Coturnix japonica: one gene and its partners. The protein of the gene in region 4 interacts with the protein of the main gene of each other region in a pairwise test. Links are inferred from orthologs where the notes say so. Each region holds a gene or a part of one and is shown on either strand. Other genes may lie near its edges. The genes, in order: PRKAA2, NGB, TTC19, L3MBTL3, PLEKHF1 and PLEKHF2.

Region 1 (4,218 bases), on a different chromosome or scaffold from region 4:
GGACTCAGCAGCATCCTGCCCCATGTCTGCAATGGGAGCTTTTCACATGCCACCCCTCACCTTCTTTAGTAAGGGAAAAAGAACAGAGGGTGGGATGTTACATGCAGCAGCTGCTTGATTTAGGGTGAAAGCATTGCCAGAGGTTCAGCCCTTTCCTCCCCCTGCTTCGGGCTGTATGGGAGGTACAACCTGAACCAATTTGTGTTGTGAAAAGAAATGCTTGCCCATGGCTCTGTAAATTCAGGATCAACCAGGAGGGAGTTCTCTACCAAAAGTCAATGATGTGTTTGCTACTTTACAGCCCTGCCCACGTATCCCATTGGGTTCAGGATAAAAAAGCTCACATATATTTCACTCTGGTCTAACGAGTGAAACGAAGTAATTCCTGATTTCCTCAATGCCTTGTTTGAGGGGCTGTATCCTTTGAGTGCACTTGGGATCTTTCAGCAGAGGAACTGGTTCTGCGCTGCAGGCTGTGGAGTGGTGAGGAGAAGGAAGGAAGCAGAAGAACAACAGAACAGCCATGTTGGAGCTGGTCCTCACAGTGCAATGCCATGTGCTGGGAGTTCGGTGCCTGGCTCAGCGAGCCAGAGCCATGATCAGGCTGGCACACATCTCGAAGAAGTCCATGGTGTGGCTGCCCAGGCGTGGGGGGACTGAGGAGATGCTGCCCACGAAGGAGCCACTCAGGGACCCCATCAGTGACTGGCACTCAGTGGCTGCTGCAGCATCAATGCTCAGTCTTGGCCGGTGCAAGCCAGCAGCTGAGCACGAGCGCTGTGGGGTGGATGAGCCAGACCTCTGCTCCATCACCTCATCTTCAAGGCAATAGAAAAAGCAAGAAATAATTATAACAGCATTAGTTTGGTATCCCTTTACTAAGGAACTGCTAACAGTAGTGGAGACAAATGGATCAGAAGGGATTTAGGAGTCGGACTCAATGATCCATGTGGGTTCCTTCCAACTTGGGATATTCTATGATTACGAATCTAAGTGACTTGAAACAGCATCACATGCTACAAAAGCATTCAGGAACTGAAGAAATATTATTTTTCCTCAAAACTTCCAAGCTTGCTGTTTCATTACTGCTTACCATCAATGCTTTTGAAGTCCAGGAGGTAGCTGCGGTTGTCCACCTGGTACAGCTGCAGACTCATTTTCACATAGTTGCCTGTCACTGGGTTCTTCCGACGCACTCTGAGGTGGTAGGAGTTCACCACCTGCAATGGGCAACCAGCTTTAGGGAATACCATTCAAGGCAAGAAGAACAACATTGCTTTCCTTTTATTTTAAAGACTAGCAAGACACCTTTTGACAGAGAAAGAAAAAACACAGTTTTTAAAAAGAACAATTCTTTAAAAATTAAGCAAATGGCTTCCTCTCCTATTTCCTCTTACAGTTGTGTTTGGAGAACAATTCTTGGGGCTCTGATTCACCAGCCCTGCTGGCAGATGAAGCTGTTGCAGCCTCTCCTTCAGGCACCAAACCAACACTGTTGTTCCCTCAATGGCAGTAATGGCCAAAAGAGCCAGAAACGACTCCCAGGCCCATATAACAGGACCGTGCTTGGGAAAGCCAGGCAGGATGGATGGTGGGGAATCATAGCCTCTCCCATCAGCACAACTAAACAAAGTGTTCGTCAATCAGTCTTGAGCTGTGCTACACTTTTTCTCTCACCACTTCCCACCCCACAATCTGCTGCATCTCATTCGCAATGAGATCTTTTCTCTGTGCTATATTTATGAAACGGTGGCACTGATGCCAAAGCTAAGAGTCACGCCTGAAGTTATTCTTAGGATGTGAAAGATTGCTGTGAAACCTCCTCGTATAAAATAAGCTCCTACATAAAGGCACTTGGTTGAATCAGTCTGTGAAGTCATACCAGAAATACGTTAGGTTTGTTAGCTCTCTGTAAAACCATTCAGCCAACAAATGTCTGGCTCTTGTAGGCACGTGTATCTGGAGACAGTCCATCTCTTCGATGGTGCCATGAAATCAGGTTCTGGGTGCTACTTATCTTTAAATACATAACAAGGAGGACATACGAGGTTTCAAAGATGCACAGGCACAAAGTTTGGGCATTAACCAAGGGCTGAAGACATCCACACAGCAAAAACACTCTGGACGTGGAGTAAGGAGGATATTGACTCCAGTGATGAATATCTGAGCAGAAATTCTCCTTTTCTTGATCCTGATGCTTGCACAAGGCTGCTGTGAAAGGCCAGGAGAGCTCATACCTATGACTGCACTTAGTTTTAGAGAAGAGCTGAGACAGCTTTACCTGTGACAGTAATTGGTGAGTGATCTCCCTGTCCTTATCTCGGTCCATGAGGTTTTCTCATCGAATTTTCTCCCTAGTTCTTTTGATGATGGAGACTGAGAGAGCAGCAAGGTAGAGCTTAGCTGCCCACCGGTGTGAAGCCACCACATAAGTAGAAACAAGGAGACATGTATCGTGCCATTTCAGGACATGCAACTACTATGACCCAAGCAGAAATAAAGGGAGATGCTTTTCTTGGGAGCACTCGAGTTGACCTCGCAGGGAATTAGCCACTAAAATTAGAAATGTGACCAGCTCCTCTTATCCCTGCAGCTAAACAAGACAGAATTATCTTTCCAGACAGAGGCTTAGGGCATTCAGGGGAAAAAAAAAAAACAACAAAAAAACCACTCTTATTCATGCCACAAATAAATGGCACAAATACGGAACATCTTGTGGGCATTTGTTTGGAAACAGCTGAGGCTGCGACCATATATAGATTGACCTCGCCAATCAACTCAAGTTACAATAATAATAATAAAAAAAACATTTTAAACCTCCCCAAAGCACATTTCCTACCTTCCACTCAAAATCCAACTGCTTCATAGCTCTGTACACCTCGGCCATAATGTCATAGGGTTTGCTCTGGCTGCGGATCCCCAGGTGCCACTTGGCCTTTTTGACAGTCAGAGGTTTGGGCTTAGTGGTGTTGAGTGCATCCAAAGGGCAGCGTGCCTTGGGGCTGTCTGCTATCAAGGGTGGCATCCGCTCGGGGTGAGGCTTCACACCAGGAGGGATGTGCATGGAGTCATCCATAAAGGAGCCAGTTGGGGGACTGGAGGCCAGGTAGAATTCACTGGCTTGGTTCATGATCCTCCGGTTGTCGATGACAAGGTGGTAGGCAACCGCTAGTTGGTCCTGGGGGTCGCCGCTGTACAGACTGTTCATCACTTCTGACTCAGTGCACTCAAACTTCTCGCAGACCTCCCGAACTGCGTCATCATCAATGACAGTGGCATCGTAGGAAGGGTCCTCTGGGAAGAGGTAGCTGGGCAGCTCCTCCTTAAACCACTCGTGTTCCCTTGGGAAAGGCAGAGAGGGGCCAACATCAGCCACACCACTTCATAGAGGAATCATGGAATATCCTTTGTGGAGCTGTAGCCACCACAAGGCCTTCCCTCAGCCTTCTCTGCTCTGAGCTGAACAAACTACAGGGCCTCAGACACTCTGCATACACCTTTCCCCCCAGACCCTTCACCATCTTTGCAGCCTTCCTTTGGATGCTTTCTAATATCCCTATGTCCTTCTTATATTTCAAAGCTAGCCAGGCCCACTACTCCCACCAGTTCACAATGAAGTCAATGGTAATTAAGCAGGTAAATGCCAGTGCAAGCCTCAGCTATAGGTGCCACCTATCAATGGTAATCTTGGCATGCATGCTGTTGCTCTAACATACAATTAAATCTCCTACTCTTCAGGACTCGTGAAGTTTAAAAGGCATTTATAGTTCAGATCCTATTTGAATGGTTAAATTCAGGCCATCAATTGCAAAAGTATTAACAATCCATTATGTCCTGTAAGTACTTGTGATGTTTATGCATATGCTTAGCACACCAGCTACATGTAATCACAGAACCATAGAAGTTGGAAGGGAGCTCTGGAGATGATCCAGCCCAACCCTCTGCTAAAGCATGTTATAGTAATGGCTACTATAAATTCCACAAAATACATATGGGACTCCACTTTCACAAGATAAATATTTAAAAAATTACTCAGTTTGTGAAACATTCAAAGCCCTGTTGCCAGTTACAAACATGTCACGATATCTGAAGGCACAAATGCCTACTTAAGTGCCCAATTGTTCCCTTTCATGGGTAGTACAGCCATTGACTACAGAAGAAATGCCTCATTTAAGGACATTTGCTGACATTTTAAACTGTGACTAACATTTTAGCTAG
Region 2 (4,925 bases), on a different chromosome or scaffold from region 4:
AAAGGTGTCCTATGTCCCAGCCAAACCTGATGCAGCAGCCCCGTGCTGTCTCCCTATTTCACCATGCTCATCTCCTGCCTTGTACTCCCTGTGCCTTTCTCGCTCACACTCATTGGCTCATCCCTCAACTCCATCAGGCTGCCTTTGGTGCTTCCCTTCTGTGTGGGAACTGCTGAGTCCTGGCCTGAACCACTGATTGAACACCTGGGGAAAGGACCCAGTCAGCCCTGGGAGCACAGGTGAAGGCAATTCAGCTGTGTAGAAGGGGTGGAGCCTGGCTGCACCTCTCCTAGACTGCATTTCAGGGCTGATCCTCATTGGGGAAGGATCTTTTTCTGGAAATCCTTCCTTGGTGTAGTTTTCCTCTGTGAACCTGGAATCTTCTGATACAGGTGAGGAATCTTCTTCTCTTCCTGTATAGCACCTTTCTGTTGTGCTGGTCCTTCCATCATCACACCACTGTTGCAATGCTTTTGCCATTGTATTGGCCTGCCTAATTGCTATACCAGCAGTGACCTTCGAAGCAGAATTGAGGTCCTTTCTTCTGGCTCCTCAGCCAGAGAGCTGGAGCCTCCTCAAGAAGTTCAGTTCCCTTGTGAGTTTGCTGGACTCAAGAGTATGGATCCAGAGTAGAGCTTTCCATTCCCAGCACTGCATCCTCAAGGCTGCAGGGCTCCAGGAGCCCATGTGAGCAGGGCAGGGGTTTGGGTGCTGCCAGAGCTGCCTCCTGTGGCCACACTGGTAGGCAGCCTCATGGATAGAAAGAGCCCTGGGGGTTGCAGCTGAGCTGAGGCAAGGTGCTGCACCTCCTGCCAAGGATGGATGGTGATGTTCTGAAGCAGAAAGTCTCCAATCTACTCACAGTGAGTCAAGGTGCATCTGGGTTGGGGTTCAGACCTCTATCTGCACTACCTATTAGAAGAAATCAGCAGTAGGGTATGGGATGAGATTGGCACAGTTATTCCAGAGCAGAGCAAGGTGTGACAGTGACACTGGTGCTTCTGTGGTGCTTGCATCCTTCTGCAACTCCTGTCCATGGGGCTGCTCTGCTTTCCTGGGTTCTGCCATTCTCCTTGAGCCCTTGCTTGCTTATACTCTTATAAGTTTCCTTTTTGCTAACTTGTGCTAAATTAAACACACTGTTCACCTTTATCTGAGAAGTAAAGAGACGTTCATTGCATCATGGAAACATTTGAGTTGGAGGAGATTCTAAAAGGCCATCTAGCACAACTCTGCATTGAACAGGGATACCTACAGCTGACCAGTTTGCTCAGAGTCTCATCCAGCCTCTCCTTGACCGTCTCCAGAGATGCAGCAGCAATGACATCTTTGGGCAACCTGTTCTGTATCCTTCTCTACCATTACTGTAAAAAACTTTTTCCTTATACCCAAACTAAATGTCCCCTTTTAGTTTGAAACCATTTCCCCTTGTCCTATCACCACAGACCCTGCTGAACAGTCTGTCCCCCTCTTTCTTATATCCCCCTTTAGCTGCTGATAGGCTGCTCTCAGGTCTTCCCGGAGAAGATCTTTGTCTTCTCCAAAGAGAAGTTGGGAGTCCTGAACGTGGCTGACAAGGCTGCTTTCCGCTACGCGTACCAACACCTTCACTGTGTTCAGCAGTTAATTACCCTGAAATGACGGAGACTCTTAGCGGCGCTGGGCAGGCATCTGCCCACGGGGACAGCGGTAGCCGAGGGGCAGCTCGGCGCGGTACCGCCCGGCCGGGGGGGTGCGGGGGGCGGAGGGCGGGCGGCTCCACTCCGTTTCGGGCTTCGCTTCGTTGCCGACCCCGCTGCGTGCGGAGCGGACCTTGGGCGGCGGGGACAGGGGCAGGTTCCCCGGGAGGGCTCTTCCCCGCCCCGCCATGGAAAGCGGGATGCTGTCTCGCACGCAGCAGGCGCTGATCCGGGAGAGCTGGCGGCGGGTGAGCTGCAGCCCTGTGCAGAACGGCGTCGTCCTCTTCTCCAGGTGAGCGGGGGTCGGTGAGCAGCGCGGCTCCGCACCCGGGGCGTTCAGCGGAGCCCCGGGATGGCGAGCGCTGCGGGGCTGCCCCGCGCGGTGCCCCGCGTTGCGGCCGGGCAGGAGCTCGCGGAGCCGCGCCGAACTCTGCCGAGCGCATCTCAACGTCTTCCCTCTACGGGCTGTGACGCGGCACGGCGGGTGAGCGGGACTCCGGATGGAGCCGACGAAGAGAGAAGATGAGGCCTCTCTCCCGCCGTTGCAGGTTGTTCGATCTGGACCCTGACCTGTTGCCCCTTTTCCAGTACAACTGCAAGCGGTTCGCCAGCCCCCAGGAGTGCCTGGCCGCTCCCGAGTTCCTGGATCACATCCGGAAGGTGAGAGGGGTCGGGGCGGTCCGCGGGTGGGTTCGGGACTGCAGGGTGTTGGGGGCAGTGCACGGGAAGGCTGTTATGCCCCCGGGATGGGGAGAAAGCGGTACTGAGGCTGCCTCGCAGGAGCTCACGCACAGGAAGAATTGGGAACAACTCGGCACAGCCCTTTGGTGAGCCCGGAGGAGCAGCCCTGCTGGGTCAGAGCGCAACCTCTGCTGCCTTCGTAACCCCATAACCTCCATCTTCAAACCAGCCTTTATAGCCTCCATCTTTAAAGCAGTGGAACGCCTGCTAGCCTGGCCTCGTTCCTTGTGAGAGGCTCATTTCCTCTGATTGCTGCAGGCTTTCTGCTGTTTCCCTGCCACTGATTATTGGACAAGCAATGTCCATCTTTATTTCTGCTCTTACTGCCTTAAGCTGAAAACGCTCTTTGCTCTAATTGGAGATAATTTCCCTCTTGAAATTACAGAGTACAATTCTATCACCTCTTGCCTTTGCTGGGCTAACTGTGCCTTGGCTTTAATCTCTCCTAACTTGCTCTGTCTGCTCCCTTCATCCTTCATTAACTCTGTCTTGCTTCCACGTGACTCTTCATCCCTCTGGGAGCCCATTGCCATTTGTGCATTGCCAGACCACATCTCCTGGCTGGGCTATCTCCCCCTCCCCCATCAAAATACTTTGGCCTACCTTAGAATTGGTTCCTACACTGTTGCACCATCCTGGCAACTTCCAGAGGTTCCACTCTCTCCTCCAGGATGGGAGGCTAACAGCACTGCTTGAAGCTCGTGTGCTGGGAAGTGGTGGTGGCTGCTGGGCTGGGCAGGGTGGAGCAGAGGTGCTGGCTTTGTACTAATGCAGTGCAGCTGCTGTGCTCCCCCAGGTGATGCTGGTGATTGATGCAGCTGTCAGCCACCTGGAGGACTTGTCCTGCCTGGAAGAATATCTCTGCAACCTCGGCAAGAAGCATCAGGCAGTCGGTGTGAAGGTTGAGTCCTTCTCGGTGAGGTGTATTCTCCCATCCCACTATGGCTGTTTGTGCAACCCTTGATGGTCCCAATCCTCCCATGCCCGGTACTGGGTGCAGCTGGCTGGGGAGAAGGCTGATGGCTCAGCACAGCCCTGAGCTGCTGGTGATGTTGGCTTGGTCAGGGAAACCCCTGTGCTCCCCTTGTTTCCTGCCTGGAGGGTGAGGGCAGAGGGGAGCAAAGTGTTTCTGAGGCTGTTTGGTCTGTGGAAGAGGAGGCTCTTATTGCTCTCTACAGCTCCCTGAAATGGGAGTTGTGGCAAGGCAGAGGTCAACCTCATCTGCCAGGTTACAGTGATAGGATAAGAGGGACTGGCCTCATATTGTGCCAGGGGAGGCACAATTGGTTGGGCACTGGAATTGGGCCCACTGCAGGTGGGCAGTGGTGGAGTCACTGTCCCTGGCAGTGTTCAAGAAGCATGTAGGTGTCACGCTTAGGGTTATGTTGGTATTGATGTCTGGACTAGGTGATCTTAGTGGTCTTTTCTAACCTTAATGATTCTGTGATTCTATGATTTCCCATCTGGAGAGGGTGATGGCTTGGTGTGCTGCTGTCTCTCACCCCAAGTGGTGCAGGAATGAGGGAAGGAGTCTGCCTGTTGTCCCCCAGCACTGAGTTGACTATTCCCTGTTTGGATTGCAGACAGTTGGCGAGTCTTTGCTGTACATGCTGGAGAAGTGCCTGGGTGCTGCCTTCAGCCCGGATGTGAAGGAGGCCTGGATCAAACTCTACAGTGCAGTGGTGAAAGCCATGCAGGGTGGCTGGGAGGTCCTCCCAGAGGGAGACTAGCCCCAGACCTGACCCTGCACAGGGTGAGCTCTAGTCCTCTCTGCCTCTCTCCACCTCATTCTGTCTCTGCACACCAGCCCACCTCCTCCAGCCACATGTGCCAGGTTCTCTTTGTGATCTCACCTTGCTTTGACACCGCCATGTCCCTGCTGTTCCTGGTGGCCACAGGGTATTTCCCTGTAGCCCAGAGTGTCCAGCACAGCACCACCACCCAGTGTCAGGTTCCTGTGGGCCAGCATCTGTAGCTGTGCTTTGGCCTTCTACTGGCTCCCTGCCCTCCTTTTGCTGCCCATCCCCATAAGATGACCACTGGTGATGACCTCTCAAGCCCCACAGCGAGCTCTCATCCTGCTCTGCTACTTACCTGGCATCACCCTGGGCAGTGATCTTGTGCTCCTCTGCCCTGTTGAGAGCCTTTTCCTGTGTGAGGCTGGTTGCAGTGTAGTGTGTTCCCTGGGAGCATTTCCAGTGGTGGGAGATGGCATTAATGCCAAGGTAAGGCTGCTTTCAGTGATATAGGCTGCTGCCCAGAAGGGTTCCTGTTGACTTGGCCAGTCAATTTTATTGAGAGAGCTGGCTGAAGTGCACCAGCAGCAGTGCTTATTTGATGTTTTGTATTAAGAAGAATAAGGCAAATACAAGAAATGATGTCTTAAAATAACAGTGAAGGTTGCAATCATGTCATGGCAACAGCTTCTAGAAATGATTCTGGCTCTTGGCCAGGGGAAGCATGGCTGGAATTTCTCTGCTCATGCTGGCAGGACCTGGAGTGCTT
Region 3 (4,819 bases), on a different chromosome or scaffold from region 4:
AAGTCTCACTGAAACTGTCCTTTTTCAAACAGCTACTGTGCGTACAGGACAAGGCAAACAAGGGCCCTCTGGGTGACATTCTGGTTCACCTTGGACCAGACCTTTCAGCAGCTGACTGGTTTGAATGCAACACGGGTTGCCTACCCCAAGTCAGCAGGCCCACTAATTAAGCTAAAAACAGGAATGCACAAAATTGACAGACACTGGCTGGACATTCATTTACTTACTTTTGTGCATCAGAATTGCTGCCAGGTTATTCAGCACCATGTGTTCCTCAGGGTGTTGTGTCACCTTTGCCAGTTCAGCTGCCCTCTTCACACGAGAGTATGCCTCATCATAGTGTCCTTGAGCATCCAATACAGTTGCCAAGTCATTCATGAGGACCACAGTCTGCAGCAGGACAGAAAAGGAATCCTCAGAGCAGAACTCGAGTAGAACTTTGAGCCAACAGCAGCACCCCACTCATATATTACACTAATGAAAGTGTTTCATAGTGGAGCTTTTAGTAAGGAAGTGCCTTACCTGTATATTAACATGATAAATGCTCACTGTTACTGTCAGGAAAACAGTACTGTCTACATTCAATGCCAGCAAAACTGCTCTTAAGGCTACTGCCTTCCCCTGTTTGATCCCTCATAACTGTTATGCCTTTCTTTACTTACTAGTCTAACTCCCATTGTACACATTACCTGTGGATGAGTCTCTCCCTGAACGTCACTTGATATCTGCAGAGCCTTCTCATACATTTTCTGGGCCACTGGGAGCTGGTTGATGTCTTGCAAATAGCGAGCGTAGGAGTCCAGGCTCATCCCCAGCAAGAGACGAGTGTTGGCTTTTTCTTCAGCTGCAAATAGAAGGGAGTGGAAATGAACACAGCAATATGAAACATGAGTTCACATCCTGTGAGAGCTGGAAAACCAAGCAGTATGAAGACAAGGGACTGGCATAAAGGTGGTGCTTAAGCAAGGACAGAGAAACGGAAAACAAACAAGAAAGAAGCCTTTGGCAGATGAGGTACTCTCACCTGACAAGACATCCTCAGGCAAGTCCTTTTGCTTGGCGATCTTCTCCTCTAAGGTCAGGATGCAGAACTCAAAGCCAGCCAGGGCTAATTTATGCCTGCAATGTACAAGTCAGCAGTGCAAGGCTTCTTCCATCCCTAGAGGGATGGATGTGAATACCTTCCTTATCCCTTACTCTTCCACCAGACCATTCTTGCCTTCAATGCTTGCTCCTCGATTATGTTCTATGCCCTTCTGACCCATGTGCAAAGGGAACCAAGAGGGAGGAAGGAGCCCCATCAAAAAGAAATAAAATAATAAGGCCAACAGAGGCTGCCCACATCAATGCTCTCTTTTGTGAAGAAAAGAAACTACAAATTACCAAACACCAACTGCATTCAAAAGCATGTCTTGTTTAGTGTGGCCTCTACAGCTACTCCTGCCCTAAGCTGGGCGGGTCCTTATAGCAATCACTGTGCTGCACGATGCAACCTCATGCCAGTGAGAACTTTCATACACTGATGGGATCTTATCACATCAAAGCTTCCACAGACACTCTGTTCTTAGAGGCACGAGCCTCTGCTTGGCCACCATTACCACCGTGTAGCTGAGATTAAAGCAAAACATGCCTTTAGCAGAGAACTCACTGTTTCTGAGCAGCATAGATACTGGCCAGCTTGAGGGACATCTCAAGGATTGCATTGTCATCCTGCCAGGACACACAACGCAACTGTTACTCCTTTTGCATCTTCCCCGTAGATCCATTACTTTGCCAGAGAACAAGTTTAGACTTTCAATGTGCTCATCCTGTTGTTTCCAGAGCAGTTTTCCACTAAAGAAATCCCTTTAAAGCTGGCAGGCTCACAGCTAGTGCTGCCAGGGACCGGTAGGAGGCAGAGCATCACAACAAACAGAGCGAGGGATTGAGCACCTCACTTCATACTCCTGGTTGAAAACCTTCACCAAAAGAACCCACCTCCTTCGTGTCTCCTGCAAGCAAGTAGCTCATCGTTGCTTTGTAGAGCTTTTCTGCCTGAAATGAGAATGTTGAAGAGGACATTGGAGGATGATGATGATGATAAACCATCTCTACTGCTGTGAGAAACCTGCCTCAAACTCTGGCCATCTGTACTGCCACAGTTATTAGCAAGAGTGGTGAGAAGTGAAAGGCCAACCAGAGCCCGGAGCTACTGCCAGCTGCTGAGGTTCTTACTGCAGGACGCCCACAATCTTATCACATCTGGGGCTCTTTAATACTTCCCTAGGTTCTCCTGCGGCCAAGGATTGTGGCATTCAATAGTAAGAAAGAATCCTGGTGGATGTTGGAGCTCAACACCCAGCTTTGTACTCAGCAGCTCTGCAATACCGCAGCCCCGAGGCTCAATATCATGTCAGCCCCTCCAGAAGCAAAACCAACAGCTGCCATCCCTACTCACGTTGTCCAGCTGTCCCTGCATGAAGGCCACGTTTGCCATCTGGAAAAGACACACAGCGCTGGAGCTCGGCATTGCTTCTGGGCTCCCACCGCTCTCCAACCCGTCTCGTTACCGTGCTGTACGTGTAGATGATGGCTCTCCTGTTGTCGGCCTGGTGCGCCAGGTGCAGCGCTCGGTGCAGCAGCCGCTCGGCCTCACTCAGTTCGCCCTTCATGACGCTGAGCTGCGGGCACAGAGCGGGCACAGAGCGGTCACGGTGCGGGCACAGAGCGGCCGGAACCCTTTTTACCCGGCCCTTCCCTGCAGGGCTCCGGGCCCACCCGGCGGGAGAAAAGAAGACACCGCTTGGCCTCCATTTCCGTCCCTCTCAGCGCCTCACCTTGGCTTTCTTCAGCAGGACAATAATGGCGTCCTCCCCGCCGTCCTGCTCGTCGTCCCTGGGAGACAAGGAGAAAGCTGCGGGCCGGAGGTGACCGCCGCCCGGCCCGGCCCGCCCGCATCCCGCCTGGCCTCACCTCCGAGGAATCCCAGCGTGAGCCCGGCGCCCTGTTGAACCCACCGCCGCCCGGCAGACCCCGTCCCGCTGCCGCCCCGCTGCCGTCGGGTCTCTCCGTGCCAGGCGGGCCGGGGTCGCGCGATCCCCGCGGGGCAGCGCCGGGTTAAACGGGACAGCGCCCGCGGCACAGCGGCGGCCAGCATCGTTAATGGGAGCGGGCCCTTTAAGAGCGCGCGCTCATCACGTGACTAGGGGTGCTGCGTAGCCGGAGCGGGGCGCTCTTGTTCCTATGGCAACGAGGCCGCAGGTAGGCCTAAACCAGGCCCAGACCAGGCCCAGGCCTAAAGCAGGCCCAGACCAGGCCAGGCCGCCCCGCATGGCTCCGTTGCGGCGGCCATAGCGCGGCTCCTGGGATCCGCCATCTGCCCGCTTCCCCTCAGACAACCCCGTGCTCCCCGGGGGCAGCCGGGACTGCTCCAGGCCGCCTCTGCCTGGAATGGCTTGGCCCCGCGCCGGGCTGCCCCAGGCGTGGGCCTCTCCCTATCCGTTATCCTTCTTCCCTCCCACGGAGTGTGTTTATGCGTGAGGCCCGTCCGAAAGGCCTCTGTCACCTCGAGGAGCCCTTTGTGCTGAGAACATGCACAGAGCACAGCTCAGGGTTCTGCTGGGGATGCCCTTTCCTTGGCCTCGTGTCAGGCTGAGATGAAGCGCTGCTCGGTCACATTCCTGACTTACAACATCTGCCCTGACCTCAGTGGTTTCCCAGCACCTCCCTGATCTCTTCTGTCTCACTTCCAGTCCCGAGGGCAGTGCCTGTGACATGGACAGCACCTTGCCAGCGGTGGCACAAGAGCTTCTGAAAGAGATCAGGAAGGCTTTTCAGGAGACCTCCCACGGTACGTAAAGAGCAGCACAGCCATCCCAGCACTGATGGGCAGTCTGGGTGCTGTCAGACCTGCCATAGCACAGGATCATAGAATGACCCGGGTTGGAAGGGACCTCAAGGATCATGTAGTTCCAACCCCCTGCCTAGCAGGTCCACCAAACATACACATTTACTAAACCAGGTTGCCCAGGGCCCCATGTTGCAGTGTTGGTGCTCTGCCCTATCTGTGTCCTTTGTTCTCTGTCACACAGCAGTGGCCATTGCTGTCACATATGGGGTGTTCCCAGCTTTTGTGTCCCACCCTGGAACCAACACAAAGGGCTCTGAAGTAGAGATAATGAGGAGCAGCACCCCTTTAAAAAATAACACTCAGTTGGATGTTTTCCACCATGGGAAATTCTGCTTGCCCAGAGCTTGTAGTGTGATAGATGATCATTTCCATCCTCCCATGGTTTGTTTTTTTTTGTCATTCCTACCACAGTGCTCCTTTTTATGGAGTCAAAGTCAGAACTGAAAGGGAAATCTTCCTAAAAATGATGGTGTTTCATCAGACCAGTAGAGGGTACAATATGGGCCATCGCCTGGCAAAGAGCAGCTTTCATGTTGCACAAAGAAGGCACAAGCCAACACCTTGGTCTATTCTAGCAGCCAGTTAAGAACTGTTCCCTTCCTTGTGTTCTGGATTACTGAATCAGTTCTGTAATGTCTGCTGGAAGAAGATTGATCTTTGTTGCTGGGTAAAAGTGCAAAATGGTTCTTCCTAAGGAAAGTGTCTGTGTGAGGAGTGATTTAGCTGTGCTAAAACCAACCAAATCAACATTCAGGGAAGCCTGGCTGTGTACTGCTTTGGAGTGCAGAAAGGACAAAGACTTGGTATGAAAACAGAGTGGTCACCTCAGTTGCTCTTTATTGTACTTGTATGGCTCCTATCAGGTTAGAGTAGATCCCAAATGTACTTGTGACTTTCTAAAGCAGTTTATAGGGCCCTCTGTAAACAAGG
Region 4 (4,833 bases):
GCGAGGGCGGCCCGGGCGGCACCGCACCGGCACCGGCACCGCTCGTGCGGATGTTCACCGGAGCTGCCGGGAACAGCTGAACTTCTGTGGGCAGGAACCGCTTTCCCGAAGGGGCTTCACGCCGCAGCAGGAACGTTCTGCTCTGATTGTGAACGCGAGCCGTTCCGAAAGCGGCGTGAAGTCGAGCGTTCGCGTCTCGAGTTGTATTTACACTTTCCACCTGATTGTTAGCGCTCGCTGCGGGCAGGAACAAAAAAGCCGAGCGCTCAGCCCGGCGCCTCTCGGAAACGAACGGAACAATGAGAAGGCGGCTCTCGCTCCGTGTCAGCTCACGGATCGCGCAGCCCGTCCCGCTGCCCGCGGGTCACCGCACGGATCCGCGCGTCACGGCCTTCCCCAACGCATCCCGCGGGGCCGCGTTTCCAGGAAGCGTTACTCAGCGCCTCCGAGCGCCGCGAACAACGGGGCGGCCGACGGCGGTGCGTGGGGCCGGCCCGGGCCGCTCCGAGCCCGCACCCCGCCGCGCTCGGCCTGGAGCCGCGCCGCCGGAGCGCAGCGACGCGGGGCCCGCCGGGCGCGGCCGCCGGCTGCCCGCGGCCTACCGCCAGAGGTCCCTCCTTGGCCAGTTTTGCGGCGTGTTTTGCCGCACTCGAAACTTTCTGGCGGAGAAAAACCCGGAGTGCTCGGGTCCGCGTTTCGCCGGGGCTCGGGCAGGAGCGACGAGACAAAGCGGCCGCCCGCTCCGACGGTCGCGAGCCGGCAGCGCTGGAGCGGAGGGAGCGCGCTTCTCCCGCCGCTCCCCGCCGTTTTCTCTCTCCCCCCTCCTTCCCCCCGGCCCGGAGCGACGGGAGCGCGCGGCAAGAGACGGACCCCCGGCCGGCGCGGGGGCGAGCGCGGTGCGAGCGAGGGTGGGAGAGGAACTGGGTGCCGAGGGTTCCTGAGGAAGTTGCACAACCGGAGAGGGACTCCGCTTGTTTACCGGGTCCTTCCCCACCCCCCCTCACTCCCGCCCCCCCCTCCCCCCGAGACGGGGATCCGGGAAAGGGCGGCCGGCTCCGCGTGGAAGGGGAAAATTTTACCTTCTCCTCCCTCCTCCCCTCCCCCAGCGAGGAGGAGGAAGAGGAGGAGGAGGGGGCGCGCTCTCTTTCCCGAGGGGGCTGCGGGATTCGCTCCTCGGCCGCTCGCAGCCAATCTGGACGCGCTGATCGCCCGACGGAGGGGTGCCCCTGCCCGCGGAGGGCAGCGCCGCGTCGCCCCCCACCCGCAGCAGCCCGGCCCCGCGCTCCAACTTTTTCTCTCACGCTCTCGCGTGCGGCCGCTCCGACGAAGCGGCCACAAAATGGGGGCGGCTCCCGGCCCCCACCCCGGCTCCCCCCGGCCTCGCGCTCCGGGCGGCCGCTCCCACCCAAAATAATAATCGCGATAATAATAATAATAATAATAATAAAAATCCCTCCCCCCAGTCGCGAAAACGCCGCCTCACACGCACGTTAGCGAGAACAAGTGTGCCTATATCCTGTTGTTAATGCACCGGCTGCGGAGACGGAGCGGCGGGGGGAGACGGGGCCGCACCCCCGGCGGCGCTCGGGCCGAGAGCGCGCAACTCGGGGCGAAGCCGCTCGCCGCCCGCCCGTCCCTCCCGTCCGGGCGCACACACGTGCGCGGCAGCGCGGGGCCGTCCCGCGGGACCCCCGGCGCCGCCCGCGGGTGCCAGCCGCCGGCCCGCAGCGGGCAGGGGCCGCCCCGCGCTCGCCCCCCGCCTGCCGCAGCGGCCCCGGGAGCGCGCACCGCACGGCAGCGGCGGGAGCGGAACGCTGGAGCCGAAGACTTTTTTTTTCCTCCTCTTAAAAAAAAATAAAAAATCGCAAGAAGCTTTTTTTTTTTTTTTTTTTCGGGTGTGTGTGTGTGTGTGTGTGTGTGTGTGTGCAAACTTTCCCCAAAATGGCGGAAATTGGGAGATGATTATATTTTAAATATCTCTCGCGCACAGGCACACAAAGTGCGGGAGCGACGGGCACGCCAAACTCTCCGCTGCGCGCTGAGCGCGGCCTTCGCGCACGGGAACCCGCGGCACATTCAACCGGTCCATCCCGGCCGCCGCCTGCCGCTTCCGACCGAAAAAACGGGGCTCTCGCACCGCCCCCACCCCCATCCCGCGCCCGCGCCTCGCCCCCCCGCGCCCGCACCTCGCCCCGTCTTCGGCGTGCGCGAACAAAGAGCCGGGCCGGGGGGGGAGCGCGGCGCAGGATCCCCCCCCGCCGCCCGCCCTCCGACGCGCAGCCCCGCGCGCCCTCCCCCCCCCCCGGCCCCATCGCGTTTGTCCCCGCGGTGCCCCGCGAGCGGCGTTAAATGGAGCCGAGCGGCGGCTCGGCGGTGGGGCAAGTCCGCAAAATGTCTCTCCCCTTCCCTTCCCCCTCCTCGCGGAGCCCCTTCCCCCCCTAAAAAAGGCCCCCCCGGCGCGTTTCGGCGGCTCCCTCCCCCATACGGAGCTCTATGCACATGCACATACGTGCGTGCCCGTGGCTGCGCCGAGATACGCGGCACGGCTCGATGCGCGTACTCCCGTCATGTGTTTGGGGAGAGAAAAAGAAATAGCAGGCACCTCTCTCTCTCTTTCTTTTGTTCCTCTTTCTCACTCACACACTTGGGGCGCTGGGAGGCACCCCCTGCCCCGGCCGCTCCCCCGCCACTTGCGAGTCACTTGCCCACTTTCCCCGGCGCGAACTTCCATCCCCGCCGCGCGGGTGGGGGGGAGAAGCCCCCTCCCTTCCCCGGCGGCGTTTCGTAAGGGAGGGCGAGGAGGTGCGCCTCTGCCTTTCTCTCGCTCTCCAACTTTCATCCTCACCTACGGCCGAACCCGACCCCGCCGCCGGCCTTCGGCCGCCGACGCCGTTCCCCGGCCGCGGCCGGCGGCTCCGGCTCGCGACCCGCCGCTCCTTACCACCCCAAATTCTCTCTCTCTCTTTTTCTCCGGCTCTCGAGTAGGTCCTGACAAATATGGTCCAGGGCTGCGGGCACAAGTGAGCATGCGCCCGCCGAGCCAGGGCTGGGGAAAGGGGAAACTGCCGCCGCCGCCGCCGCCGCTCGTTCTTCCTCCCTCGCCCGCGCTGCCGCTGCGCCGGAGCCGCACTCGCGGCGGTGGCAGCGCGGGCGAGGGTGGAAGAGCGAGCGGCGGCGGCTGAAGTCGGCGGCGGCGGAGCGCACGGCGCCCTGCGAGGTGCGGCATCCCCGGTTGCATGCCGACGCCGGAGGAATAATAAGGAGGCTTGCGCGGCAGCGCGCTGCTATTTTTGGGCTTTTGGAAAATAACGCGCTAAACCTTTTTTTCCCTTTTTCTTGTCTTCTCGCCGTCTTTTCCCCCGTCCTTTCGCCAAAAGGCGTGACGGGTCGCTGCCTGCCGTCCGAGCGCAGAGCCGAGCCGCTCGCCTCGGGATGTCACACGGGACCCGGCGGGGGGTGTGCGGCCATTCACACTCCTGCGCTCTGCTACGGCGCTGGGCCTCAGCCCGCTGCAGCTGGTCTGCAAATGGAAAGTAGTTTCACCTGTGCCACCTGCCCTCCATCACCCCCTGCGCTCACAATAGGAGATATTTTCTGTCCCTTGCCATTGTTTAGAAAATGCTACGAACGGAAGGCCCGTGGGTGTTTTTTTGTTTGTTTATGGGGTCGGACAGGGTGGGCTTCCTTCACCTAGAAGGAGGGCTGCAAAGCAACATTAAACTGAATAGAGCTACGCGAGGCCTAACTAACGGGTGAGAGGGAGGGAGGGGGATTGCAATCTGTTGTATATATGACACTTGAAAACATTTAGATACATAGATAGGTATAAGTATAGATAGATGTAGATATGGACAGATAAATAGATGAGAGAAAGAGGGAGAGACAGAGAGACAGAAAGTTTCAGGCAAAGTGTAAACCAACATGGAATGCAGTCATTATACTTACCAGAAATGTTTTATTCAGACCACGTGATATCTGTAAGATGGCCATATTCTGAAGGCGAGGATTGGCAAAGTGAATTAAACATTTTTAGTAGTTTGGCATGTTGTTACGTCTCTTTTAAAATAGCCCTCAGCCTCTGATTTATCCCAGTAATTATCAAGTCCAGACTTTCCCTTGAATTTACATATGCTTCCTTCTACAGTTACAGAGACAACTGTGGCCCAAGTTATTAAAACAGGAATAATGATAACCAGGAATAAATAATAGGATTAATTATCAACAGAAATAAATACATGACAAAAAAATGCTTACCTACAAAGTCAGAATAACCAAAATGTGGCTTATACCAAACCAAATAAACCTTTTCTTTGCTATTATGAGTATACACTATTTATGATGGGTATATACTGTGTGCATCCCAGCAACTGGGGCAGCCTTGCACTGGACAAAGGATAGAAGTGCCCTTCTCTGGCAGGAAGAATTGGCTTCCATTCACTGATGTACTTACATAAGAACATACATTGAAATATTTATGAATCAAATCTATGTCCATGCTTGTAACTTAGGTGTGACTTAGACTTCTACCATGCTATCCTGAGAGCTTCTATTTACTGAAAATGGTAACACTGAAATCACGTGTGTTCGCAGGATGGTGCCTGTGTGCGGCACATAGTATTATTCTATGTTTAACATCTCTCATGCCCATTCAGCTCAAATGGCATTGCGCATAGCATGCACTTTTCATTAATGAACATATGTTCATTAGAAACTAATTATGGAAAACAGTATTGACCTTATTGTAATAATTAGCAATAGCATATATTTAAACTCTTCTAGAATAGTTTTTCACAAAATAAAAGTGAAAGGATGAGAAAATTCCAATATCCCTCA
Region 5 (3,499 bases), on a different chromosome or scaffold from region 4:
AAAAGGTCATAAACTAATGTGAAGAGTGTAAAAGAGATTATTCTTAACCTCCACTGACATGAGAAGCTTCTGATTTGCACGCAGGCTTGCTGATCAGCCTTGTCCTGGCAGTCTGCTGTAAGTGCAGCTTCACCACTTCTTTATTTTCTTCTCTTCAGGGTGAGCTGGAGATGGTGGATCACCTCGCAAACACTGAGATCAACAGCCAGCGCATTGCTGCTGTGGAACACTGCTTTGGGGCTTCTGGACAACCCTTAGCTGTGCCAGGAAGAGTCCTTTTGGGAGAAGGGATTTTAACCAAAGAATGCCGCAAGAAACCAAAGCCTCGCATATTCTTCCTGTTCAACGACATCCTCGTGTACGGGAGCATAGTGATTAACAAAAGGAAGTACAATTCCCAGCACATCATTCCCCTTGAAGATGTCACTTTGGAGACGCTGCCGGACACCTTGCAGATGAAGAACCGCTGGATGATCAAAACCTCCAAGAAATCCTTTGTGGTTTCTGCAGCCTCCCTGACGGAGCGGAAGGAGTGGATCAGCCATCTGGAGGAGTGCATCAGGCACCTGCTGACAAAGACGGGCAGGCAGCCCTCCACAGAGCACGCGGCCCCCTGGATCCCTGACAAGGCGACAGACATCTGCATGCGCTGCACGCAGACCAAGTTCTCCACGCTCACTCGAAGGCACCACTGCCGCAAGTGTGGCTTTGTGGTGTGCGGAGACTGCTCCAGGCAGAGGTTTTTGATGCCCAGGCTGTCCCCCAAGCCCCTGAGGGTCTGCAACCTGTGCTACAGGCAGCTGCTGGCGGAACAGAAGAAGGAAGAGGAGGCTGACGGTCAGCAGCCGGAGCAGTACCGTGGCAACATCCCAGGCTACGAACCCTCCAGTGGTGATGACAGTGACAAGTCTGATGATTACAAAGTTGACCAGTGGCCAGCAGACACAGAGTTTTATAACTCAGAAGTATCTTGGTCATCTTTCCATAGCTGACCTCCTTGAGAACCGGTGGTGTTTAAATATTGGGTAGCCAATTTCTGGCCTCCAATGCGTGTCCTTCTCAGTGTGTCCTGTGGAGGCCATGCTTGGGAAGGTGGATATTGGCCCCTGTTTGTGCTGTCTGTGAGGAAAGCAAAGGTCAGGGACTGCTGTGAGTCATTCTGAGAATGTCTCATATATGCAAGCAGAGAGTCACAGCTTAGAGAAAAGCACGGACTAGAGATCAGTCTTGATCCAAGTGAGTTCACCCATCTGTGCCTTAGTCTTCCTGTCTGCAAAAAAGGAGAAATAATACTCTTGGGAGAAAAAGGAGCTGGCAATCTTTGGCTGAAATATGTTTGTCTGCTCGTGCTGAATTCCTCCTTCAGAGGTGACAGGGCTTTCAGATGGGCACTGCAGAAAACTGGTGCTTTTCCTTCCCGTGAGGCATTCTCTCTGCAGAGAACTTCTAGGGCTGGCTCTTTTCACAAGTATTACATCTACTTCAGAGATTGTCATTGCAGCTGTGCAAACCTGTCTCTCCTCGGTGTGTGGTGAGATAGGTACGGACTTTGACTTCTACACCAGGAATTCTGAACTTTGGAAACACTAAGGGAATGGCACTGTGAATGCATATGAGGCTTATCAAAGGGCTGGGGCTCTTATATGGAAAGAAATCATCATATCAGATATCTGTGATATCAGCAAGGTAGTGGGGGTGGATGGGAAGAGAGACAGGTACATTTATACAAAGGAGAGAAGGAAAAGCTTTACTGCAATTGACTCAACTGATGCGCAGAGCCCCAGATTTCAAAACCAGGCATTTTCACCAGGTTGCTAGAGAGATGATGACCTCAAGCCTATCAGGTAAAAGAGTCGCCCGGGGAAGACTTTTAGCAAGTCTTAATTTGGGGTATTTTTCTAGAATTCTTAAAATCACAGAGGTTCAGCATTTTGATTCTCACTCCCTTCCTGAAAAAGACATCAAGGAATTGAACACTCTTGTGCTCACTCACTTCTATCAGTCGCACAAGTTCAAAATTAAGGTCCTTAATGCATCTTCAGGATTGGAGCCCAATGAAATTAATTTGAGATGAACTTTAAAGTCCAAAATAAGTTCAAATATTAGAACAAACAGTTTATTTCTATCATAATGTAGCGCTGGAGTAAATATGCTGGAAATTAGACAACAGCAATTATATTGCAGCAGACGTTTCCACAAACTCAGTTAATAATTTTAGTATATTTTTGTATGGTGTATTTTATTTCCTGGGAAAGGAATGTGGCTGAGAATACACCCTCATCATTATAAAGCATTTCCTTACCAGTGTCTGGTCTAATTATGGCATTGGATGCCATGTGGTCAGATTTAGATTTTTCTTAAATTTAATCTCAGAATAATTATTCTTTCTTTCTTTTGTAAACTGCCACTGTCCAATCAATTTGTATTACTTGACTGTGTGGGAATAAAGATATGGCCACTAGGAAGAAGCCAGAAAAATATGTCAGTGAAGTGTGTTGTTGTTTTACACAAGCCTTAAATAATTGAGACAGATGCTGTGATTCAGGCATGGCCAACCAGCCTGAAATCCAGCAACTCTCCAGCCATGAGATGAACGTTCTGGTCTTGTATTTACTACCAGAAGGTGAGTATTTCTGAGTGAGTATTGTGAGTGAGAAGGTGAGTACTGTCAAACCTGATTCTTCCTTTCTGTTTATACCCTTTTGTCATCTGTCCGAGTTTTCCCAATTCTTTTGCAATTCCCTGTGGTAGTCCATATTAATTGGAATGGGATTTTTCCGGTGTGGCCACAGCTTGGAGTGGGTCAACAAACCTTCTGACCTAAACAGATGTTTTTTAAAGTAGTAAGTACACCAAGTTCTGTTTTTTTTGCTATCCCTCTTCAAGTTTAGTTCATAATTCTCAGCAGCAGTGATTGTTTTTATAATGCCTCCCACCCACCAGAAGGGTGTATATGCTATGCAAACAGAAAATGACCTTAAAAATAAACAGCCCTTAGAACAGTTCACAAGCCAAAAATAGCACAGTTGTTGAATCAGTGTGCATAACTTAAGTTCCAGTTCTGTACTCCATGGGCAAAACTCTCAGTTCTCTTCCCAGCAATTGGCTTCAGAAATATATCCCAGTTTTGAACCTATTCCTCAGTCCTCTTAGAGATCAGCTTTTCTTCTGTATCCAAAGGTCTTACTATTATCAGTTCCCAAGAGATCTATGAACTGTTTTTATCCACTAATGGATAAATTGGATAATGGACAGTCACACCTCTAATAATCACAGAATCATTAAAGTGGGAAGAGACTTCAAAGGTCATCTAGGCCAGCAGTCCACTTGCCACCAGTATTGTCCGCTCTCTGTGTCCCTGAGTACCACCTCTACTCTTTCCTTAAACAGCTCTATGAACTCCACCACTTCCCCAGGCATCCTGCTCCAGTGCCTCACCACTTCTGAGATGTTTTTCCTAATATCCAACCTGAATCTCTCCTTGCACAACTTGAGGCCA
Region 6 (4,757 bases), on a different chromosome or scaffold from region 4:
CAGGTATTTCCTGTGGTTATTTTATGATGAACTTGTTTTTCTTTTTCTTTAATGGCAAGAGCATAATTCTAATCCCACCTTGACCTGACTGAAGTTAGAATGCCTGCTGACCTGAATCCCCAGAGGATCAAGGTGTTCAGCAATGATTAACGCAGGTTTCCGTGCTTCATCCCTGGCTCTCTCCAGCCCATTAATTGGCTGTAGTGAGCTTGCCATGAAGTATTGATCAAAGGTTAGCGAGCAGAGTGGCAATTTTCAGCGTACAAACATTGCTGGCTCCTATAGAATGAACAGAAGTAGATGGGAGCAAAATTATAGATAATACATATTTTATTTTGAATTGACTCCTTCAATCATCAAATAATGAACTTTAAAAGAATAATTACATTTGCCTGTTGTTCTGAAGGTGAAAAAAAGGAATTAGAAGAATTAGATAAATGAGGGTGAGGAGTTATGGAGTCTCCTTCTCTAGATATATTCAGAACCAGCCTGGATGCCTCTCTGTGTGACCTGCTGTAGGGAACCTGCCTTAGCAGGAGGTTGGACTAGATGAGCTCCAGAGGTCCCTTCCCATCCCTGTGGTCCTGTGTGGATTGTTAGCAGTTGGTATCTCTTAGAGGAGTGTATTAACGGCAGCCTCTGTAACACTGAGGCCCACACCTCAATAAAGAAAGAAAATAAGAAATAATAATAATAATAAAAGACTCCTTAGAAGCTCAGTTCATGAGATTAGTAGGAAAATGTTCTATTTTTACATGGTTTTCCTCAGTCTCCACTAGCAGTCATTGCTGGGTACAGGGTGTGAAGTTAATGGGTGCCAAACAAGACCCCTTAAGCTCCTAAGATCCAAGAATGGGCAGATCTGGTTGGGGCATTATGGGACTCTTACAAAATTGTTATTTTCCCTTCTATTTTGTTGACTATATCAAAATGAATGAGGTGAGGAAGTGATAACAGTGAAAACTCCCAAGTTTTACGACAAATTCAATTGAAATTAGGAAATAGTTGCTACCACAGGAAAGCCCCACTGCTTCACTGGCTTTTTTTTTCCCCTTAGAAAATGGGGAAAAACGGTCACCCTGCCTCATTGCCCAACAGTTGGTTGCAGTGTGAAATGGGGAAAGCCAAACCCGCAGTGTTTCCTGCCAGTGAGAGTTTCCTTCAGCAGAGCCTGAGGCTGGTTTTCGATGCGGTCATTGCAGTGGAGCGGTGTCACAGCAGGCCCCGAGTCCCGTGTTGGAGCTGTTACTGCCTCGCTGTATTTATGAGTTCTGTGGTGTTTCGGGTACAGTTCGTACTGTCAGGCCGGGGTGCGTTTTTCCGAGCTGACTGACTGGCAGCTATTCAAACTCCAACAAGTCAGCGACTGCCTTCTGTGTGCTACAAAGCGTAGACACAGAGATTGATAAAAAAGAGCACGACAATCCTTAGCGTTCAACTCAAGGAAACGGCGCTTGAAGCGACAGACCGCTGACTCAAAGAATGGAAAGGCTCTTTCCAACAAGTTCCCACAGCGGGGTGATGTTTTCGAGCCCCCTGAATCACAGAATGACCCGGGTTGGAAGGGGATCATGTAGTTCCAACCCCCTGCCTGGCAGGGCCACCAAACATACACATTTACTAGATCAGGTTGCCCAGGGCCCCGTCCAACCTGGCCTTGAACACCTCCAAGGACGGGGCATCCACAGCCTCCCTTACCCCCACTGCACACGCCGACATCCCCCACCCCACTGCCTCCTTCTCACCCCTCAGCGCTTCCCGCCCGCCTGGCTCCGCCCAAGATGGCGGCGGTCCCGCCCCGTGCGGGCGGTGTCCCGGAGCCCGGCCCCGGCGGGTGCATGACCGCGGCCGAGCGGGGAGAGCGCGGCGGGGTCGGGGCGGCAGTTGGAGCGTGGAGCGTCGGGCGGGGCCGGCTGAGCAGCGCGGTGAGGGCAGCGCGGAACCGGTGTCTTCCCGCTTGGGGTTCTGCCGCCGGAGCGTGGGCGGGAGGCAGAGGCTGAAACTTTCCTGACGGAGCGTTTCCCTCTCTGGGGCTCCGGGCGCTCCGCCGCGGCCATGTTGGGAGCCGGGGGCTGCCCCGCGGGCGGAGGGGCGGCGCGGGGCCGGGAGCTGCCGCTGCTCGGCGGGAGGGCGCTGCGGGCGGCTGACGGGAAGCGAAGGGGCGGCGGCGGGAGCTTGTTTGTCCCGTCCGAAAGGAGTTGGGCTTTAACGGGGGGAAAAGCCCCGCAGCTGCCAGTATCGGGCGTTACGTAAGTGTGTGGAGACCTCCACCCGGTGCTCGTGGGCTCCAGGGGTGCGTGAGTTGGGCCCCAAATTGAGAAATAGTTAAAAAGCAGCAGCAGGAAGGAGGTGGAATTGCGGAGCTGCGTCTGTCAGCGCGTCGGTTGGACGTGCGTTTCTTAGGGGAGCTGCGATGGATGTGTGCTGCCCGGGCAGGCGGGCACGCTCGGCTCCTGAGCTGGAGCTGGCTGTGCAGCGGTGGCAGGGCGGTGTGTGCCGGCTGAGTGCCACAGTTGTCAGTGAGGCAGCAGCCCTCGGGACGGCCCGGCTTCGGGAGGCTGGTTCCGTACCGCCGAGCTCCGAGCTGTGCCGGCACGGGTTGCGGCCGGGCCAGCGGCTGGGGCGGGCCTGAAACCAAAGCCTGCAACCGGGGCGGATTTCAGAGCTGAGATTGTCGATTCCTCTTTCTTTCCCGGAATAAGGAGAACTTCAGCGCTCAGCTTTCGGTTCTGTGGTGTGTTTTGGATTGGTTGAGGCTCTTTGAAAGTAGGGAAGCGCTTAAAGGCTTAATGTCAGTGCGGAGACCCCACGGACTGCAGCCATCAGCGTGAGGGGAGGACGGGGATCTTCAGCACCGAAGGAGCTTTTTACCCCCCCTTTGAATTGTGTTGTGTAAATAACGTTGACTAATCCAGTGAGAAATCCCTGTGTAGCTGAATACAGGCTGGAGCAGCTGAGTTTTGTTCAAAGTATTTAAAACTTTGTGCAGCAAATACTCTGTGGCTCTGGGCAGCCTGGCCTGGTTGTTGGCAACCCTGCACATAGCAGGGGGGTGAAACTATATGATCACTGTCCTTTTCAACCCAGGTTATTCTGTGATTCTATGAAATACAGGGTTTGCTGTTGTACAACTTTGTGTTCGTGATTTAGTGGAGGACTTATTACGTTTGAAAGGGGAATGAAAGCTGCTTTGTAGGTGGGTGTGGTAAAACATACTTCCACCAAGCCATTATCTTGGCGTTGGCATAAACTATAAGCCCTGATGACAACTGCGTTAGCAAGTAGAGTCCTGCAAATTCCTACCCACGTCAGTAGTGCTGTTGCAGTGAATGGGTCTGCGTGCAGAAAGAGTCGTTTGACTGAGAGCTGCTGGACGAAGATTCTCCTTTTCCAAAAGGAAGCATCGTTGTGTGCAAGTGTTACTGAACAGAGCACTATTTTTCATGATGTTTTTACAGCCTGATATTTTACACAGTCAAAAATGCACTGATATGTTTGCTTTGGCTCCTCGATGTTACATAAATAGGTAGGAATGTTGCTACCATGGGTGTAATGATACTTTCCTCCTGCTTCTGTTGCAACAATGAATAATTTAAGGGTTTTGAAATCTATTTTCAAGTGGTGCTGTTTGTTTTGTTTTGTTTTTTTTTACCCCCCTTTGCGTGTTGGCATTTTACAGCAATACAGTGTTCAGAATGTTACATATTCAACATAGGAGCATTTAGGCTTTTTGTCTAAGTGGAAAAGAAGGGCAAACAGTTGAACTTTCAGGCTTTCAAACACAGTAACGCTTGCCCCAGCCCTGTTCCTGGCACATAACGTGGCACCATGCAAGCAATGAGCTCTGTGGGGCTGTGATGCAATGTGTCCTGGTGCTCAGCAGGGCAGTGGGCTGCCACCCCTCCTGTACAAGGGATGGCATTGTAATGGGTGCTCCAGTGCTCTACATGCTTTCCACAGAACTCGGAAGTGCATCGAGTGCATTTGACAAGCTGTCAGAGGCTGCTGAGTGTGTTTCCCAAGAAGGCCTTGTAGTTAAGTTGTTATGATTAAGGGATTCTTTCAGGAACTGCTTATGTGAGAGGACTGAATCCTCTGTTCTGCTTCGACTGACAGGCAGCCTGCCTCCCTGGAACTGGTTTATGGCCTGAAGCGTGCGGTAACTTTTTTCTTAAGTAAGCACTTCTATATAGCGTATAACATTGACGTGTGACGTGTGGAAGTGCCTCCGCGTGCGCCTCCAAAGGCAGTGATTGATGCTTACCACTGAAACAAGCTGATTTTGAAGAGAGGCTTGTGGAGTGGGTTTGGCGACACTTGAAGCTGCTGTAACTGGGTGGTGGGTTATGTTTTGTGCTAATGATGCTGCTCCTCTTCACAGAATCACAGAATGACCCGGGTTGGAAGGGACCTCAAGGATCATGTAGTTCCAACCCCCCTGCCTGGCAGGGCCACCAAACATACACCTTTACTAGATCAGGTTGCCCAGGGCCCCGTCCAACCTGGCCTTGAACACCTCCAAGGACGGGGCATCCACAACCTCCCTGGGCAGCCTGTTCCAGGGCCTAACCACTCTCCTAGTGAAGAATTTCCTCCTAACATCCAAATCAGTGTTTCTTCCTTGCTGAAGTTGATTGTATTGAACGCCAAGCTGTAAGGGAAGGAGGTGTGTAGAATCCACACGAACCATTCTGTGATAATGGAAGCTGGCAGAGCAGCTGGGACAGCAAAAAAGCATCTCTCTGCTCTCACTGTGC

Evidence for each region.
Region 1: the proteins of L3MBTL3 (region 4) and PRKAA2 interact in binary tests that used the Homo sapiens proteins (3 or more experiments, as listed by UniProt). The two-hybrid records come from large-scale screens. The link is inferred for Coturnix japonica from reciprocal best matches to the Homo sapiens genes L3MBTL3 and PRKAA2.
Region 2: the proteins of L3MBTL3 (region 4) and NGB interact in binary tests that used the Homo sapiens proteins (3 or more experiments, as listed by UniProt). The two-hybrid records come from large-scale screens. The link is inferred for Coturnix japonica from reciprocal best matches to the Homo sapiens genes L3MBTL3 and NGB.
Region 3: the proteins of L3MBTL3 (region 4) and TTC19 interact in binary tests that used the Homo sapiens proteins (3 or more experiments, as listed by UniProt). The two-hybrid records come from large-scale screens. The link is inferred for Coturnix japonica from reciprocal best matches to the Homo sapiens genes L3MBTL3 and TTC19.
Region 5: the proteins of L3MBTL3 (region 4) and PLEKHF1 interact in binary tests that used the Homo sapiens proteins (3 or more experiments, as listed by UniProt). The two-hybrid records come from large-scale screens. The link is inferred for Coturnix japonica from reciprocal best matches to the Homo sapiens genes L3MBTL3 and PLEKHF1.
Region 6: the proteins of L3MBTL3 (region 4) and PLEKHF2 interact in binary tests that used the Homo sapiens proteins (3 or more experiments, as listed by UniProt). The two-hybrid records come from large-scale screens. The link is inferred for Coturnix japonica from reciprocal best matches to the Homo sapiens genes L3MBTL3 and PLEKHF2.

What each region holds. Positions count from the first base shown.
Region 1 is NC_029523.1:23,050,513-23,054,730, reverse strand, and holds part of PRKAA2 (5'-AMP-activated protein kinase catalytic subunit alpha-2), read right to left. Parts: intron 3,342-4,218; coding exon 2,840-3,341; intron 1,221-2,839; coding exon 1,094-1,220; intron 819-1,093; coding exon 580-818; 3' UTR 1-579. UniProt on the Homo sapiens protein: Catalytic subunit of AMP-activated protein kinase (AMPK), an energy sensor protein kinase that plays a key role in regulating cellular energy metabolism.
Region 2 is NC_029520.1:35,498,421-35,503,345, reverse strand, and holds the start of NGB (neuroglobin), read left to right. Parts: upstream 1-1,757; 5' UTR 1,758-1,867; coding exon 1,868-1,971; intron 1,972-2,227; coding exon 2,228-2,339; intron 2,340-3,216; coding exon 3,217-3,336; intron 3,337-4,003; coding exon 4,004-4,150; 3' UTR 4,151-4,173; exon of another isoform or gene 4,174-4,911; 3' UTR 4,912-4,925. UniProt on the Homo sapiens protein: Monomeric globin with a bis-histidyl six-coordinate heme-iron atom through which it can bind dioxygen, carbon monoxide and nitric oxide.
Region 3 is NC_029534.1:5,220,345-5,225,163, reverse strand, and holds the start of TTC19 (tetratricopeptide repeat protein 19, mitochondrial), read right to left. Parts: upstream 3,162-4,819; 5' UTR 3,137-3,161; coding exon 2,953-3,136; exon of another isoform or gene 2,894-2,952; coding exon 2,817-2,893; exon of another isoform or gene 2,772-2,816; intron 2,661-2,771; coding exon 2,550-2,660; intron 2,477-2,549; coding exon 2,438-2,476; intron 2,035-2,437; coding exon 1,978-2,034; intron 1,711-1,977; coding exon 1,649-1,710; intron 1,120-1,648; coding exon 1,025-1,119; intron 845-1,024; coding exon 690-844; intron 391-689; coding exon 228-390; intron 1-227. Other genes in the region: ZSWIM7 (zinc finger SWIM domain-containing protein 7), read left to right, coding at 3,754-3,829. UniProt on the Homo sapiens protein: Required for the preservation of the structural and functional integrity of mitochondrial respiratory complex III by allowing the physiological turnover of the Rieske protein UQCRFS1.
Region 4 is NC_029518.1:52,550,392-52,555,224, forward strand, and holds the start of L3MBTL3 (lethal(3)malignant brain tumor-like protein 3), read right to left. Parts: upstream 3,072-4,833; 5' UTR 2,942-3,071; intron 1,612-2,941; exon of another isoform or gene 1,490-1,611; intron 1,176-1,489; exon of another isoform or gene 1,080-1,175; intron 1-1,079. UniProt on the Homo sapiens protein: Is a negative regulator of Notch target genes expression, required for RBPJ-mediated transcriptional repression. It recruits KDM1A to Notch-responsive elements and promotes KDM1A-mediated H3K4me demethylation.
Region 5 is NC_029526.1:7,110,692-7,114,190, forward strand, and holds the end of PLEKHF1 (pleckstrin homology domain-containing family F member 1), read left to right. Parts: intron 1-158; 5' UTR 159-170; coding exon 171-992; 3' UTR 993-2,481; downstream 2,482-3,499. UniProt on the Homo sapiens protein: May induce apoptosis through the lysosomal-mitochondrial pathway. Translocates to the lysosome initiating the permeabilization of lysosomal membrane (LMP) and resulting in the release of CTSD and CTSL to the cytoplasm.
Region 6 is NC_029517.1:114,520,289-114,525,045, forward strand, and holds the start of PLEKHF2 (pleckstrin homology domain-containing family F member 2), read left to right. Parts: upstream 1-1,793; 5' UTR 1,794-1,925; intron 1,926-2,118; exon of another isoform or gene 2,119-2,249; intron 2,250-4,757. UniProt on the Homo sapiens protein: May play a role in early endosome fusion upstream of RAB5, hence regulating receptor trafficking and fluid-phase transport. Enhances cellular sensitivity to TNF-induced apoptosis.